Schizosaccharomyces pombe: one gene and its partner. The protein of the gene in region 1 purifies or fractionates together with the protein of each later gene. This does not show direct contact. Each region holds a gene or a part of one and is shown on either strand. Other genes may lie near its edges.

Region 1 (5,500 bases):
AAATGACAACTGGTAACGAATATCTTGTAACACATGAACTAAATTCTGGAAGCAAAATTTTTGACCTTGAAGAAAGGCTACAACATCTATGCATCGATGAACTGAAGGAGATAGATGTACCCAACGCGCTAAAACTAGCAAACGCATAGTGAAAGCGCGCGAACGTAATAACCAATCTAAGATCTTTTTCTTTTTCTCGACATTTGACATAGAGGGTAGAACTTCGGCTAAAGACACCAATTCTTGTAACACATGATGACTAAAAGTTTCTACTATCTCAGGAAGAGGATAAAATCCTTCTGTAATGTGTGGAATCGCAGGCGGTTCCATCCTCAATTGGAGGAGTTAGGAATTTCGTGTAATAGCGCCTTTAATTAGCCGATCCTTTACCAAAACTAAATTTCGTAATAAACATAAGTTTTGTTCTTTTAAAAACCCTTAAAAAGGATTCTTTATATCTCTTTTACAGAAATCTTCGAGTAGCGTGCCAAAAGCAACTTCACACAGCTCCCGTGAAACTCTTCGATAACCTTCGTTACGCCATTCACTGAGATTGTTAAAACGCCTTAGGTTTATTCATTCAAAAAATTGGAATAATCAATAAATAAGCAATTTTAAATGGAATTAAATAATAATTGATCAATGATATTACTAAAATGGGAGATTTTGAATAAATTTGAGCTAGTATAAACATGCCCTGTTATGCGATAATCGCATAAAACATAGTTTGAAACTATGGATAATGAAGAATAACAAATGAGATGGAACCGTTCAAAAAGATTCTCGTAATTCTATAGTAGTTAAAAAGCCCCTTCTTTAAACTGAACGAAAATCATCATTAAAGCTGTTCAAACTTTGCTATCAATTTTAATCAGAGCTTCAGCGTGTCTCATTAAAATGATAATAAAACAGTAATTTAGAAGAGCTAAGCCGAAAAATAACATTTGTTTTGATCATTTAATTATTTTCTCCACGACCACAAGAAGCTGACAAAAAATTTTTAATATAGCAAAACAAAAGTAGAGCACTATTCCATTTGAATGATTCAAAGCTCTATTAACAATAAATTTGGACAAATGGAAGCATAACCTTCGGTTTTAATAGTAGTATAAGATATGGATTTCTTGAAATCCATTTTAACTTTTAATGAACTCCAACATCGGTCTCGTTGCTAAATTAATTCAATAGCACACGCACACTATAAAGGCCAGATTTTATCGCTAGAACACAAACGGTGGTTTAACAACGTCAATTCATAGCTACTACATTTCCAAGTAGTATTCCAATAAGAAAAAGATCATGTCGTATTGGGTGGAACTATGGGAATCAATTTTCACACCAGGTGTCACACCTGTATTGGCTAAGTCAGCACACGTAGCCTGTGGTGCACTTGTCGCTGTTTTTCTTGGACTTTATATAGGTACAAAAAGTATTCATTGTCTCATCTTATTTTTCCTGGCAATCTGTTTGTGGCTGTCGCTAACATGGTACGTTTATCCATGAGGAAGTTGAACATCTCGTTCACTTTTTTACGAGTAGTCCAGATCATTCATTAACAACTTTATAGGTTTTTGGTTGAGCTTGCACATGCTCGAGTTAATAACGATTTGCAGATGTCGTCTCAAAGTGCCAATAAAAATGACGACAACTCAAACAATCAAAATCCTTCTAATAACAAAGAGATGTCTGATAAAGAATCAGATTCCGCGACCACTACTCAGACTTTTTCTGTTCCTGAAGAGCTTTTGAGAGCTCGTACAACTGCCAATAATAGTTAGAAACTATAGGTCCAAAAAAAGAAGCAATAAGTTCAAGAGCACTGGTAAAAGTTCTCTTCTTTTAATAATAAACCTCAATCTAATATAAGTTTTCTTACCTGTCCGATTTGCTGGTCATTTAAAGATTCTAGTAGATCCGTATTACTGTATTTTTCCTGTTTCCAGCTCTCGTTTTCTAGTGCATCCGCATACCTCTCCCACGAGCTTAAAAATCCTACTAAATGCAAAGGATTTGTTACGTTCCGATGTCTTCGAAATTCCGCCTTTACATATTCATCTCCTAAAGCTCGTTCTTCTGCTCCTAGGTGATAGCGATGCGCTCTCAACACCCTTCGGTACAGAGGCAAAGGAGGTGTCAAAATATTCTTTTGTTTCATTAATTTCGTTATGTTATTCATTGGTATATGATTTTCTTTAGATACCGTCTTTTCAAAAATTGAATTCCTTTTAAGTTTCTTGTTGTGGTTGTGATGTGGAAGGCAGTTTGCTATTCATCGCATTCACACTAACAATTGCAAGGTCTTCTTCTACCAAATGTAAACAATACCACCAGAAGATATACTAGTAGGAAAAGTGAGTGTTCCTTCAATCATTTGTCTTGAAATCTTCAATTTTTAATTCCTTTTTCTTTTGAAAACATTACTTTGTGTTATCGGACTACGTAGAAAGGACTTGTCGATTTGGTATCGATTATTTGTAGTTGCTTGAATTCATTTATTTTAAGATTAAAGTATTTATCAGAAAAAATTAAAAGCATAATGAATGATACTGATCTGTCCACCTTTACTGGCCGTTCGTTGTTGATCGATCAATTGAGCTCAGTCACACAGGGAACACCAGTATTGGATTTTATTGACAAGTTGAGAATTCATTTCTATACCACTATTCGCCAAAATCTCTTAAAGATTGATTTAAAAAACATATGCAGTCTACACGACTTAACGGACCAACTAAGTGACTTTTGGCTTGTTTACGAACAGAGTGTCTTAGAAAGTCCTATTTTAAGTCCTGAACTCGACCGAATCCTTACATGCTTCCGTTGCCTTTGTAGAAGGTACTTGCCCATTTCGGTGATTGAAAGCGTTCTAACAGAATATCTGGATCAAGTTTTAAAAGTATGGTTAGAGAGTAAAACGAATCCTTGTTTGGATATGGAGAAATTTTTTCAATTGTGTGAAAAATTTAAGCAGCTGGGGCTGTCTTCTGTGTTAAAAGAAAGGTTTGTATATGTATTGCAGTTGCATGTCGGCTCTCTTTTAACAACACGGTATGCGATGTCTTGGGAGCAGAGTGTTTACCATGAAGCATTGGAGTGGATTCGCACCGAATTTGGGGTTCTTGTTGAACATGTATTTTCATTGTCGAATCCAGCGGTTTTGGTTCAGTTAGACCATCTTGTTTCTCAAATACTTGCTCATTTGCGATCAGACAACATTCTTGATATTGTTCTTCATTACCCCAATTCACTAGGCGCAATTGAAGACTTGCGTTTAGTTGCCCGTCAAAAACAGCAACGTCAATATTTAACCGAAACTTTTGTGAAAGATTGTACAAGTAGTATTTTGACCGCTAGCAGTGATAGCTCCTATATTCTTTTGTTCTATGTCTCTACCATTCGTTGTTTTGTTGCATTAGACCCCCCTGGTGTTCTTTTAGACAAAGCTGCCAAACCCATTCGTTCTTTTCTAAATGAACGAGAAGATGCATATAAATGCTTGGTTTCCTTATTGTTTGTTGACGGTGAAAAAGGCCTACGCTCTGAGCTTTCTCAAATTCCCACTGAAAACATCGACTCAACAACGGATCGATTTGATAATTACCACTGGATGCCGGATCCGATTGATGCGGCTCCTGACTTTAAAAAACCAACCGATAGAGACGTTGTTGGAAGTCTCATTTCCATTTTTAAAAGCAAGGAGCCCTTAGTGAAGGAATTACAATTGTTACTAGCTGATCGACTTTTACAACTTACAGATTATCATTATGAAGTTGAGGTTTGTTTTATTCTATTTAAGTTGAATTTTCTAACGTTTTTTAGGCAAAAAATATAGAGTTTTTAAAGTATCGATTTGGAGAGACTGTTCTGCAAATGTGTAGTGTTATGCTGAACGATATTGAGAATTCAAGATTTATTGATCAGAGCATCCACATGGAGAACTATGTTTCGAAAGGTTTGCACGTAACTATTTTATCAAGATTATTTTGGCCTACTTTGTCTGTTCGATATTTTCATTTACCTGGCCCTCTGAAAAAAGAACTCGATGCATATGCTGAAGAATACAGAGAAAGAAAGAGAAAAAGGGAGCTTGTTTTTTTACCCAACTTAGGATCGGTAGAGTTGGAAATTGAGCTTGAGGATAGAACACTCACGTTGACAGTTACACCGGAGCAAGCTGCCTTTATATCACTTTTTGAAGAGACTTCTACATTACATATTGAGAAAGCTGCTGAACTTTTAGATCAGCCGAAAGAAATAGTTGAGCGACATTTGAAATTTTGGCTTCATCATCGAGTGCTTACCGACATCGGCGACGACCGATATCGTGTTCGTGAAACTGAAGCCGAAACCGCGACAGAAACTGTACTTGATGAAATCCAAGGGGTATCAGCTGTTCAAAGTGAAGCCGAAAGCAGTGCCGCTGAGATGCGTGTTTACTGGTATGTTTCTTTATTAAAACTAAAATTTGTAATTAATAAAAAAAGGTCTTTTGTTGTAGGAATGTTGACGAACCTTGGAGCTCTTGAGCTTGAACGAATTCACAACATGCTCACGATGTTTATCCCACCGCCAAACGGCTATACTCGTACCCAGAGCGAGCTAAGAGAATTTCTAGCATTAATGATCAAAGAGGAAAAGTTGGAGTTTACTGGAGGAGCTTATAAGCTCAAATAATTAATGGCTATAGAATCCTTTGTCTGTTAAGAAAAGCCTTGGGATTTTTATGAACTTTTTTATGGACATCTCATTTAATTTTACGAAAACCATCACTTATACATTGCATGTCTATTGGCATATTGTCTACTAATGATTAGCAGCTAACTGTTACTATTTAAGTATGTCTTTACATTCATGCTCTTGTTTAGCTATTTACGATTCTACGATGGTTAAACGGATCTGATCAAGATAGTTGTAATGAACACAGAGACACTAGAGTATGTTTATACATTACCTAGAGTTTCGTATAGATACTGTAAATATTAGAAATTTCATTTAAACAGTGAAAACTGATGTAACATCGTTATATGAAATAGTGCAACAGAACAAAGCCAAAACTTCTGCATCTTGATAGATATGAGTAAGTTGTACCATCCAAAACTTACATATAATTAAAATCAACAATGGCGGCTACAATGGCAGCTCAGAGTCTATTATCGATTCCAGTGGAATACCGATCTCAGGTATGGTGTCGAGCGAATTTACCATATCCACCAGCACCACAATTACCAATCCCTGCTGTCGTAGATATATTAACAAAAGCGTCCCAGGCTTTACCACAGGTAGTTTTTAGAAGACTTCAATATATGTTTTTTCTAACAAATTTTAGATTTCATTTTCTTGGACTCTCATAGATCAACCACCAGATGGTTCCTTGTTTTTAGTTTGGCAAGCACCTACATTACCATCTCCACCAGATGGAATGCATTTTATGAGCAATGAAAGGTTTTTTAATATGGACGTTGCAGGAAAGGTAAGTTGCTCACAAGCACTGCGGTATAAGGGA
Region 2 (5,149 bases), on another chromosome or scaffold:
CTGCTGGCCAAGGCACGAGCATAACTAAACTTTGGAGTATTTGACGGTGGTTTTGAAGACATTATACTCTTCGTTTATCTACAATTATTCAAAGTAATAAAACTGAAGAGACCACCGAATATTAAAACCTTAAATTAGTTCGTTTGTTTTATATACAACAACCGAGTTCTTTTCTTCCTATTTCTACTGAAAGAAAGAACACCAATTATAGATTATTATTGGAACGGAACAAGACAAACAAATGTAACGTTCTGTATTCCGTTAAATATTAAAATACCCTCCAGATGAGTTGATAATAAATTTTCAACTGAAGTGGTTGGGTTAGTGGTGGTGGTCAAGAGAAGCAATAGAACGAAGCAGCAAACTCTTCAAATTGTGCCGCTTACGTTCTATCAGTAAATTTAACGAAATTAAATCTTCTGCGATAAACACGTTTTATGACTGTTAATAGATATTCGCAAATTAAAGAAAAGCTGTTCTCCAAGGTAGAACAAAAAATATATTTTTTCGGAAAGTACTGTCGACTTGCGTTAATGTCACGCTTCATAATTCATGTTACTATTTATTGGTAGAAATTATCTTGATTGCCTTCTAACGAAATTATACTCTTCTTCTGGTTGGTTTCGAGTTTATGAGTGATTCTTGTTTTTGTGTTTCCTGGAAATTCTGGCATTGTTTATTGTAGTTTCTCATTGAAGAGTATTTCATTCGATTTAAATAGCAATATATGAAACAAAAAGTATATAGGTTATTAATAGATACTCAAGAAGCATGGCCTTTTGAAAGAACTGTATGTTTTTAGTTTTATCTAAACAATTTTTCTAATACGTTAGAGGATACCCAGTTTTAAAAAACTGAGCGATTCTGAGCGACAACAAATTGAGAGGTACTATTTCGACATGGATGCTAAAATGGCATTGGCTTCTATACTTATTAAAAGGCACTTAGTCTCCACGGCTCTCGAATGTTCACCAAATGAAGTACAAATTTCTGTCACAAAAGCCGGGAGACCGTATTGCCAATCAGCACACTGTCCTCCTATTATATTTGACTTTAATGTATCCCACTATGGGGGAATCGTAATTGTAGTAGGAGCATGGCTTCCATCAGATCCTTCAGGAATGCGACCGATCAATATTGGAGTTGACATCGTCGAATGTAAACCGTTAGCTTTTGAAGCATCATGGATGGAAGATTTCATGAGTGTATTTACTCCTTGCGAATGGAAGTTGATTAAAAGTTCAATTTCTAGTATTGATGTTTTTTTTTTGCTCTGGACTTGCAAAGAAGCGATTTTGAAAGCACTCGGTATCGGATTAAGTGGAAACCCTTTGGATATTGTGGTAACATTTCATAAATTAAATGAGCTGTTAAATTCCGAGGAAGTGTCTTTAAGAAGAGCAGCAACTGCAGTGTATTCAGGATATTCTTGGGACTTGGAAATTCATAAACTAATACTTCACTCTAGTACTTTTTACGTCAGTGTCGCCTTTCCACAAGACTGCGTAATAATGGATCTAAATTGGGAGACATTGAACGACTTGTAATTTTTTTTTATTAACATGTATCATCGCATTGTTTTAGACCGTGATGCCTCCTTTGCCTGTCTCCCTTAATGCTTGGATCGAGTTGCATTAGTAGTGTTTTTTTATTCTCTGATAATTTACCCAAACTCTTTTTGGATTTATCAGAGTTTACACAACTCTATACACCATCCAGATGATTTACCTATTTTTGTTTATATGTTTTTTTTACTAAAATGCTACATTGCTTTATAAGATTTAACATATCTTAACGATGGAGCTCAAACAATAACAACCACCTGTTTGTACCCACATGTTTTTGTTGACATTAACTCCCATCGTTTCCAAAACTTTAATAGATTTGTCATGACAGATCGATTGAAATGTTTAATATGGTATTGCATTGATAATCAGAATTATGATAATTCAATTTTTTATTCAGAACGTTTACATGCAATTGAAGATTCAAACGAGAGTTTGTATCTTTTGGCATATTCGCATTTCCTAAACCTCGATTACAATATTGTATACGACTTATTAGATAGAGTAATTAGTCATGTTCCTTGCACATACTTATTTGCAAGGACCAGCCTTATTTTAGGCAGATATAAACAAGGAATAAGTGCTGTGGAGGCCTGTCGATCGAATTGGCGCTCCATTCAGCCAAACAGTATGTGGTGATTTATTTCGCGAAACCTCTAACTAAGTTATCTAGTAAATGACTCAATTAGCAGTCGTGGACATCCAGATGCCTCTTGCATGCTTGATGTTTTGGGTACTATGTATAAAAAGGCAGGGTTCCTCAAAAAAGCTACAGATTGTTTTGTAGAAGCTGTCTCCATTAACCCATATAATTTCTCTGCTTTCCAGAATTTAACTGCAATAGGTATGTGACAGATGTTTTGTTGTGAATTAGTAAATTCACTTTTGTCAAAAAAAAATACTTATTTTCGTTTATTTCTATAATTGTGCTAATATATTTTGCTGAATAGGCGTGCCACTCGATGCTAATAATGTATTTGTTATTCCACCCTACCTTACGGCAATGAAGGGTTTTGAAAAATCTCAAACGAATGCTACAGCTTCGGTACCAGAACCGTCTTTTTTGAAGAAAAGTAAAGAGTCTTCCTCATCTTCCAACAAGTTTTCGGTTTCTGAATCGATAGCAAATAGTTATTCAAACTCATCCATTTCAGCATTTACTAAGTGGTTTGATAGGGTTGACGCTTCTGAGCTTCCAGGAAGTGAGAAGGAACGACATCAAAGCTTGAAATTACAATCTCAATCTCAGACTAGCAAAAACCTTTTGGCTTTCAATGATGCTCAAAAAGCTGATTCTAACAATAGGGATACGTCTTTAAAATCCCACTTTGTGGAACCTAGAACCCAAGCATTAAGACCAGGAGCTCGTTTAACATATAAATTACGCGAAGCGAGAAGTTCTAAAAGAGGAGAGAGCACACCTCAAAGCTTCCGCGAAGAGGACAATAATTTGATGGAATTACTAAAGTTATTCGGTAAGGGTGTTTACCTGCTCGCCCAGTATAAGTTACGAGAGGCTTTAAATTGTTTCCAAAGCTTGCCCATCGAACAGCAAAATACACCTTTTGTTCTTGCAAAGCTTGGAATAACCTACTTTGAACTGGTTGATTACGAAAAATCTGAAGAAGTGTTTCAAAAATTAAGGGACTTGTCGCCTTCACGTGTCAAAGATATGGAAGTCTTTTCAACTGCACTTTGGCATTTGCAAAAGTCTGTTCCTTTATCTTACCTTGCCCATGAAACTTTGGAAACTAATCCTTATTCCCCAGAATCATGGTGCATTCTTGCTAATTGCTTCTCACTTCAACGTGAACACTCGCAGGCATTAAAATGTATTAATAGAGCTATTCAATTGGATCCAACTTTTGAATATGCTTATACGCTTCAAGGGCACGAGCATTCTGCAAACGAAGAATACGAAAAATCGAAAACATCTTTCCGCAAAGCAATTAGAGTAAATGTTCGACATTACAATGCATGGTATGGCCTGGGAATGGTTTATTTAAAAACAGGGCGAAATGATCAAGCAGACTTTCATTTTCAACGTGCTGCAGAGATCAATCCTAACAACTCTGTACTCATCACTTGTATTGGTATGATTTACGAACGCTGCAAAGATTACAAAAAAGCACTTGATTTTTATGATCGGGCATGTAAACTGGATGAAAAGTCTTCGCTTGCCAGGTTCAAGAAAGCCAAAGTGCTTATTTTATTACATGATCACGATAAAGCACTCGTTGAATTGGAACAATTAAAGGCAATTGCGCCAGATGAAGCAAATGTTCATTTTTTGCTCGGCAAAATTTTCAAGCAAATGCGGAAAAAAAATTTAGCCTTAAAGCACTTCACTATAGCATGGAACTTAGACGGCAAGGCTACGCATATTATTAAGGAATCGATTGAAAATCTGGATATTCCCGAAGAAAATTTGTTAACTGAAACAGGTGAAATTTATAGGAATCTGGAAACTTAAGAAATTATGTCTTGTATTTTAGGGATGCCAAAAAATTGTCGAATGAATAAGTTAATGAGTTAGAATGTTTACGTCTTCATTCTGGTTAGGTTTAAAAATGATGATTTTCGTTTAGAAGTTATATATTAAAATAAAGGTATAATAGATATCATTAATAACCAATGATAAAAAAAATTGTGTATAAAATCACCGTGGGTATAACTTAAGTTTAAAGTGTGCAATTAATGAAATGTCCTCAGGCCATTCATTTTTATTACGAATCACCAACGTTACTATCACCGCACCAACCATACTTTAAAACGAAAGGAAGGGTTGTTGAAAGTTTGCTCTTCTCTACTGTGTACATATTCGAAATGGGTTTTATTAAGAGCACGCTGCTTGCTACTGTGACAGTATTTGTTGGTTTGTGCGGAATCAACCGATTTTTTACTCTCCCGAAATGTATTAGATATCACTTTCGCTATTTCGCATGTCACACATTTTTAGCTATTAGTTCTGCTTATGGGGTTATAGCCTCAGTTGTTGCACGTTTATGTGGTTATCCCGTAATGGGACAATATTTAACTGCAAAGGCATATTATGGACTGGCTAGTACAATCCTTGACTTTCGGTTTAAAATCGAAAACGAGGAAATTTTGAGAAAACATAAGTCTGCTGTCTTAGTAGTTAATCATCAATCGTAAGCATACCTCAAAATATACTTCTTTATGATAAAAAATAACTGACTTACAATTTTAATTAGTGAATTGGATATTTTGGCTATAGGAAGGACTTTTGGCCCTAATTATTCTGTTATTGCTAAAAAGTCTCTAAGATATGTGCCCATTTTGGGATGGTTTATGATATTGTCTGACGTTGTATTTATCGATAGGTCTCGCCGAAGTGATGCGATTCAACTTTTTGCGAAAGCGGCACGAAGAATGCGCAAAGAAAATATTTCTATTTGGGTATTTGCAGAAGGCACTCGTTCCTATAGCCTTAAGCCCTGTCTTCTTCCCTTGAAAAAGGGCGCATTTCACCTTGCTGTACAGGCTCAAGTACCCATTATTCCTATTGCAATTCAGACTTATGGTCATTTGTTTCATCCTCCTACCAAAGTATTCAATAAAGG

What was found.
Region 2: the proteins of apc2 (region 1) and nuc2 purify together in Schizosaccharomyces pombe (affinity purification with western blotting, with the first as the bait; one study listed by BioGRID). This does not show direct contact.

What each region holds. Positions count from the first base shown.
Region 1 is NC_003423.3:1,998,599-2,004,098, forward strand, and holds apc2 (anaphase-promoting complex cullin family subunit Apc2), read left to right. Parts: upstream 1-2,310; 5' UTR 2,311-2,536; coding exon 2,537-3,772; intron 3,773-3,816; coding exon 3,817-4,436; intron 4,437-4,481; coding exon 4,482-4,671; 3' UTR 4,672-5,000; downstream 5,001-5,500. Other genes in the region: mediator complex subunit Med14, read right to left, coding at 1-330; V-ATPase assembly factor Pkr1, read left to right, coding at 1,300-1,487, 1,568-1,778; sdh7 (ACN9 family protein), read right to left, coding at 1,714-1,761, 1,877-2,176; SWI/SNF and RSC complex subunit Ssr4, read left to right, coding at 5,118-5,276, 5,324-5,467. UniProt on the Schizosaccharomyces pombe protein: Component of the anaphase-promoting complex/cyclosome (APC/C), a cell cycle-regulated E3 ubiquitin-protein ligase complex that controls progression through mitosis and the G1 phase of the cell cycle.
Region 2 is NC_003424.3:4,496,243-4,501,391, forward strand, and holds nuc2 (anaphase-promoting complex TPR lobe subcomplex subunit Apc3), read left to right. Parts: upstream 1-1,853; 5' UTR 1,854-1,889; coding exon 1,890-2,193; intron 2,194-2,238; coding exon 2,239-2,409; intron 2,410-2,515; coding exon 2,516-4,038; 3' UTR 4,039-4,339; downstream 4,340-5,149. Other genes in the region: tif471 (translation initiation factor eIF4G), read right to left, coding at 1-62; alpha-aminoadipate reductase phosphopantetheinyl transferase Lys7, read left to right, coding at 728-790, 834-1,547; 1-acylglycerol-3-phosphate O-acyltransferase Slc1, read left to right, coding at 4,392-4,717, 4,781-5,149. UniProt on the Schizosaccharomyces pombe protein: Component of the anaphase-promoting complex/cyclosome (APC/C), a cell cycle-regulated E3 ubiquitin-protein ligase complex that controls progression through mitosis and the G1 phase of the cell cycle.